Rattus norvegicus: one gene and its partner. The protein of the gene in region 2 binds, or shares a complex with, the protein of the main gene of each other region. Links are inferred from orthologs where the notes say so. Each region holds a gene or a part of one and is shown on either strand. Other genes may lie near its edges.

Region 1 (3,304 bases), on a different chromosome or scaffold from region 2:
AAGGCTGGCTGATGATACTTTACCGGGTAAGCCAACTGCTCCCCTCCTTTCCCTTTAAACTTTAAACCTGGCTTTTCCTATAAAAAGTCTACTCTGGGAGCAGACTAGTGCTGCTATTACATTTTTCCTTCTTGTGGACCTGGACTTCCAGTATTATGGTGTGCGATCAATAAACAAATCTTGCTTAACTGAGATTGGGGTACATATGGTGGTTTGTGTGGCAATTTCCTAGACCCCAACATTTTCCTTGCTTTTTTGAGGCAGGATTTTTGCGGCCTAGGCTATCTTCTTTTTTTCTTTTCTTTTCTTTTTTTTCGGAGCTGGGGACCGAACCCAGGGCCTTGCACTTGCTAGGCAAGTGCTCTACCACTGAGCTAAATCCCCAACCTAGGCTATCTTCTAACTCAAGGCAATCCTCCTGCCTCAGCCTCCCAAGTCCTATGATTTTTATAGACATGAGCCACCACTCTGGGGTAAAAAGGCCACTTTCATTCCTTAGTGTTAGTCAGAATATTAACATTCATGGAGATATTTATTCCAAAAGCTCTAGGTATAGTTTCAGTTAGGCATTACTCTGTATACCTCCACCCAATTTATTACGCCAAAAGACTTCAAGGATTTCAAGTTCATAAACTTAGCTCAACCAGACAAAGGGGACAGCATAGCTTGAAGTGACAGCTCCCGCACAGCGCACGTGCTGTCTCGGTGTGGGCTTTCCTCCCGTGTTTCCAAGTAAGAGTCTCGAGAGTCTCCATGGCTGGTTTACTATCCTAGTTCTAAGGTTGTTGCTCTCTCTGTTGTGCAGGAAGTGGAGTCAAACTCCCAGGTTCCTCTCTTGCAGGAGAGCTGAGCCATCTGAAGGTGGGGCAATCTGCTTAAAGGAGGACCCCCAGCATCAACTGCCCTTATCGGATCAACTGCTACAGAAGGTCTTTACCTAAGGGACGGTGAGTCCTTGAAGATATCCTAAGTGGCCTCCGATGAGAGTTTATGCAGGAAGAAGCTGTCTGGACGCTTGCCTTGCATTACATTTCTAAGAGCTGCTCCATTTCCTCCAGGATTATTGTGAAGTCACTGGCTTCGTCCTTACCTAAGGTTTGCTGTTCCAGGAACTGGATCCTTTCTTTTTCTTTCAACTTCAACTTCACCTTCAAGGCCTGAAAGGGAAATCATTCCAAAGGAAAACCCATAACAAAACTCTTAGTCACAAGAAAGACTACACCTGACCCAGACACCTTATACCAGACAGATATAAAGACATTATACCTGCGCCACATAGAGGACTATCTTATTTCCCACTGGGGATTTATCTGGGCTGATTTGGGGAATTTTCCCACTCCTGTATTTAAACTAGGGCAATGAAATTGTCTGTGTCTCCTGCCCCACGATTTATCTGGCAATCTGAAGGAGTACAAGAATCTTTTTTTTTTTTAAAAAAAAAAGACTTATTACATATGAGTACACTGCAACTGTCTTCAGACACACCAGAAGAGGGCATTGGATCACATTATAGATGGTTGTGAGCCACCATCTGGGTTGCTGGGAATTGAATTCAGGTCCTCTGGAAAAGCAGTCAGTGCTCTTAACCACTGAGCCATCTCTCCAGCTCCTGACTACAAGATTCTTACCAAATAGACCAGGCTTCAAACTTATGCAGATTAAAGGCGTGTGCTACTATGCCTGGTTTCTAATTTTTTTTTCTTGTTAATTTGTGTGTGTCCTCGAATATCCATGGAGAGGAGAAAAGAAAGGGCATCAGATCCCTAGAGCTGGAGTTATGAAGTTATGAGCTGCAGGGGGCAGAACTTGGGACCTCTACAGAAGCAGCAAATGCTGTCAACCGATGACCATCCCTCTAGCCCTACAATCTGGACATTTTGCTCAGGCCTCTTGAGAAAGTCTTTTTAGCATGGATTTCGAGGTCTCAGCTTTCAACTCTGAGTACTACGGTGTGGCCGACTGGAGGTGTGGAAACTTTTCTTCCCTGGGTCTTGCAGTGGTTTTATACCCAGGAACCTTTCTAAGACCTCAGGATCACAAAAAGAAAAAAGAACATCTAAGAAAGAAATTGATTCAGTACAAAGTCTGGGAGCTCAGGTAACGATGGCACAGCAGCGAGGACAGTGTGTGGTATAAGCCCTAGGGGGACTGAATTTTCTAAATTAGCTATGCAACTTTTCTATCAATCTAAAATTATTTCAAAATCGTTCATTAAAAACAAACAAGTATACTGGGCCTGGGGCTATGGGCTCCTTCTATGGCACATGTGGAACTTACCCACCTAACTCCAAGCCCTAGGAGCTGCTCTTGTCCCCACCCTTGACCTCAGCCGCAGCAGGCCCTTGCCCTTGCCCTTTTTGCCCACCTAAGTGCAATGCTTCCATGGATCTGGATGTCAATAGTAGTGAGCTACGACAGGTTGCTTGCAGAGAGCCCAGACTGAAGTGTAGACCTCTCCAGTGCAGTGGAGTGTCTTGGACCCCTCCAGAAGGGAAGGAGGGAGTTGACCCTTGACCTAGGACTGATCTGGGAGTTTTATTTAGGACATCCCTAGAGACTTGATCCTTGTTGCTCTATGGCTTCTCACCTCTGAGTCAGCCCCACCCACGCAGGGAGCCCTGGCCATTTGATGTCCTCCTTCCTGTCCCTGTCCCCAACTCAGGACTGTAGGGAGCCATCCCTTCCCCCTCAGCCTCTTCTTTCCCAGGGAGCAAAGCCATACAGGGGAGGCCCACTCCATGGTGACACTCCAGAAGCCCAGGCTTCAGGAGGTAAAAATGACTCGGGGGTTTGTCCTCCCAGAGCTGCAACCATGATAAGGAGTGGGTTAGCCCTCAGCTCTGCAGTTCCTGGAGGTAGGGACAATCAAAACAAACAAATCAAACAAACCAACCGAATGGGAGCCAGGCAGGTGAGCTGGCTCAAAGGGTAAAGGTGCCTGCCACGGAGCCTAATGACCTGAGTTTGCGTCCATGCATGGGTATGTATGCACTATGCACCTGCAAGACATTCACACCTGCAGACATTCACACCATAGGACACACCTTTGCAGTTGGCTACCCCTTGCTCCTTTAGGCAACTAGAGTTGTTTTTAGTTCCCATGTCAGGCACCTCACCACTGCCTCTAACTCTAGGGGATCCGAAGTCCTCTTATGTCTCCCATGGGCACCTGCACATACGTGATACTCATTCACATACACATAAGTAAAAATAAATGTTAAAAAATAAGTAAATAAAAAGCAAGCCAAGCATGGTGGCTCACCCTGTAATCCCAGCGAAGAGGCAAGAGGATCATCCTGGGACT
Region 2 (3,653 bases):
CCACTTCCTGTATAACTCTGTTCTCTGCAGTTTCCTCCCCAGGATCGACATGATCGACAGAGAAATCTTTGGTCAAGACAGTTGAGGGAGAGAGACAAGCCACAGTGAAATCCAAGACATTTTCAGAAGGAACTGAGCCCGCAGGTGCAGCTTCAGTGTTACTGTCTCTTAATGGAGGGTCCTGAGAGATGGGTTGCTCAGGCCTGATAGCAACAGTTTCTGGTAAGCTGTCTTCCACACAAGGTGCCGCCTCCTTTTCCACCAGGTCTTCTAGCCCCAAAGATTCTTTTAGAGAGCTTTTATTTCTCTCTGCTGTGGTATCTAAGTGAGCCTGGAGCATCAGGTCTTGCTGCTGCCCTAAGGAAAAGGGTAAAAGAACCATGGTCTTAACTATACCGTCATCTATTGGTTCTGCCACAAAATCATCCATTGCTTCCACTGCCTTCTCCAGTGTGTTGAAAGGAGAGCTGCTTTCAGGAGTTAGATCTGATTCACGCTGACAAGCTTCTATGTACTCTGAAGGATGGCTGAACTGTTCTGAAAGGAAGTTGTTCTCAGTATTGTCAAAATCCACTGGAGATGTGTTCTCAGTATTGACAAAATCCACTGGAGATGAGTTCTCTGCATTAACAAAATTCACTGGAGATGAGCTGTTGCGCCTTTCCTGCCAAAAGAAACAAAATAGTTGACAAAGGCAGTCCAATTCAGCCCTCAACATATAACAGTGGGTACATTGCAAAATCCAAACTCAGAAAAAACAGTCTTATTATCTCTTCTTTTTTTTTTTTTTTTTTGGTTCTTTTTTTTTCGGAGCTGGGGACCGAACCCAGGGCCTTGCGCTTCCTAGGCAAGCGCTCTACCACTAAGCTAAATTCCCAACCCCTTTATTATCTCTTCTGAAGGAAGAAGTTAACTACCAGTAGGAAAAGGAAGATAGGAAAGCACTTTGGCTCCTACGCATCCCATCCATATAGGAAGGAGGTGCAGCCCACAGTATAAACAGACTAAGCAAATCTATTATGCCAATGGTAGACTTAGCTTGAAAATGACCTGGCCATGCCCTCTTCTAATTTTTTTTTTTCTTTTTTTCGGAGCTGGGGACCGAACCCTGGGCCTTGCGGTTGCTAGGCGCTCTACCACTGAGCCAAATCCCCAACCCCCCTCTTCTAATTTCAACCAACGTCTCAAGAGACATGGTAGGAGAGACCCAATAGAGAATGGGGGATGTTTTCAAGTACTGTCAGAATCTAGAGTTACACAAGGGTAACTCAGGGATTGCTCAGGGATGCCAGCTGGGAGTGGCACATACTTTAATCCCAGCACTCGGCAGAGGCAGGGGCAGAGGGGCAGAGGGGCAGAGGGGCAGAGGGGCAGAGGGGCAGAGGGGCAGAGAGGCAGAGAGGCAGAGAGAGAGGCAGAGAGGCAGAGAGGCAGAGAGGCAGAGAGGCAGAGAGGCAGAGAGGCAGAGGCAGAGGCAGCTCTGAGTTCGAGGCCAGCCTGGCCTACAGAGTGAGTTTCAGAGTAACCAAGTAACCCTGTCTCAAAAAAACAAAACCAACCAAACAAACAAAAATATTGATTTACTAAAGACAGAATAGATAAAGTTAATGAAATAGGATGGGGGTATAGTTTAGTTGTATAGTATCTGTCTAGCAAGCACAAACATCTACGTTCAATAAAATAAAATAAAATAACAAAATCATGGTCAAAGAAATAAAAAGCAAGCTTTCATATTTTGAAAGAATGGTAGGTTTCATGGTTCTCCTTACAAGAAGAGGAAATAGTAGCAATTTCTTCAGGACAATTTCCCAAGTAGTTCTACAAAATGTCTTTAAAGAACCCAGGGGGTTGGGGCTGGGGATTTAGCTCAGTGGTAGAGCGCTTACCTAGGAAGCGCAAGGCCCTGGGTTCGGTCCCCAGCTCCGAAAAAAAGAACCAAAAAAAAAAAAAAAAAAAAAAAGAACCCAGGGGGTCAAACTCCTTTCTTGACAAATTTAACAAAAGCAATTTGTACTTTCTCTCAAGTCCTTCTCTTTGTACTATTTCTCCTAAGTCCTTTGACAAGTAATAAAAAACATTTTTAAAAAACTTAAGTCTAAAAGTAGAAAAGAAGCTGGGTGGTGACAGTGGTGGCTTGCACCTTCGATCTCAGCACTGGAGAGGCAGAGGCAAGCAGATCTCTGAGTTTTAGGCCAGCCAGGTCGACAGAGTGAATTCCAGGACAGCCACAAAGAAATCCTGTCTCCAAAAACCAAAACCACAACAACCGAAAACCTTCTAACTTAAAAAGTACAGATTAATGTAAGCAACTCGGCAAGGTTTAAAGTATTGGATTACAGGAAAATTCTAACGACCCCATAGGATATATGGACACGGTCTCACTCTTGGAGACAGATCTCTCCATAAATGTGGCAGTGTAAGTATTTCTCAGGAATTTGGTAAAGGTCAAAAACTAGATAGGGGGCAAAGAAAACAGCAAAAACCGAACCCAAGCTAAATAGAGATATGGGTTCTCAGTGGATTCGTTTTAACCACCCCAGGGCACCTCTCTGTTGGCCTGAATAGCTGTAAATGGATGTCACGGAAGTAGAAGACTTCATTATCGTTATTAATTATGTTCCAGCCTTGGCCCTCTGTTCCTCTGAGCATCTGAGCCTGGGCAAACAGCCCAGTTGTGAAGCTAAAATCTCACCTTCAGATCCAGCCTGCGCAGGTATGGGGTCAGCGAGGAGAACATAGGACCTTTCCCTGAATCAGCGAGGGCCTCGGGCTGTAGTTTAAGCTCTCGGAGAGGAGTTCTCATAGCTGGTTTCCCCTGAGAAAGAAAGCGAGTGTGAGGAAACCTGGGCTCAGCCTCTGAGAGTGTTTTCCCACGACCCGCTAGGCCGCGGGGTCAACACTGCCTCTCGCTACCCCAGTTCGTTGGGAGCCAGACTTCACCGGCCTCGGCACCGCCCGCACCCCGCCCAGGTAGCGCCCTGTCCGCGAAAATTCTCTCCTCACCGATTGGGGCGAAGGCGACAAGCCGAGATTCAGTGTTTTCACCCTCCACATCTTTAATTAGACCACTTATCTGACCAAGTCGAAAACGCCACATTCACCCGCCGCCTCTATTTGAACCCAATACGCGTTTCCGGATTGGCTGCGGGGCCGCGGTACGTATAGTGGGTGGGACCTGCGTGCGTCACGCCCCCACGGGCGGCTGGGCGCTTAGCCTAACGCCTCCACTTGAGCATCCGGCTGGTGGGTATGTCCTCCAGAGTCATGGACTCTGGGAAGTTGGAGAGTCGAGGAGTCCGGTTTCAGTGGCTCCGTTTCCCCGGTTACCGAATGAGCCGCACTTCACTCGAGGTTGGGCTGCCCAGGAGTAGGTGCCAGTTTCATAAAGGCCTGAGGGAGTTCCTAAATGCCCAACTTCAGCCTTCAGGTAACGCCTCTTCAGAATTTCTGCGCCTGCCTTGTGTTTAACCTCGGAGCCTACTGTAACGGAACGGGATTACTAGAATAATAGCTGACGTGTACTGTACTGTACATTTATGATGATCCCGGCACTGTTTCAAGTGCTTGCTATATGCTATATTATTAACACACACACACACACACACACACACACACACACACACACACACACACGCAGAGTTGCTCTGTGTAGC

What was found. Proteins that work in one complex are often made in the same cells at the same time.
Region 1: Spag5 (region 2) and Knstrn share a complex: the UniProt entries of both Homo sapiens proteins name them as parts of the astrin (SPAG5)-kinastrin (SKAP) complex. The link is inferred for Rattus norvegicus from reciprocal best matches to the Homo sapiens genes SPAG5 and KNSTRN.

The regions. Positions count from the first base shown.
Region 1 is NC_086021.1:126,271,622-126,274,925, reverse strand, and holds the end of Knstrn (small kinetochore-associated protein), read right to left. Parts: coding exon of another isoform or gene 3,263-3,304; intron 1,158-3,262; coding exon 1,026-1,157; 3' UTR 580-1,025; downstream 1-579. UniProt on the Homo sapiens protein: Essential component of the mitotic spindle required for faithful chromosome segregation and progression into anaphase.
Region 2 is NC_086028.1:63,696,295-63,699,947, reverse strand, and holds part of Spag5 (sperm-associated antigen 5), read right to left. Parts: 5' UTR 3,055-3,653; coding exon 3,004-3,054; intron 2,816-3,003; coding exon 2,693-2,815; intron 665-2,692; coding exon 1-664. UniProt on the Homo sapiens protein: Essential component of the mitotic spindle required for normal chromosome segregation and progression into anaphase. Required for chromosome alignment, normal timing of sister chromatid segregation, and maintenance of spindle pole architecture.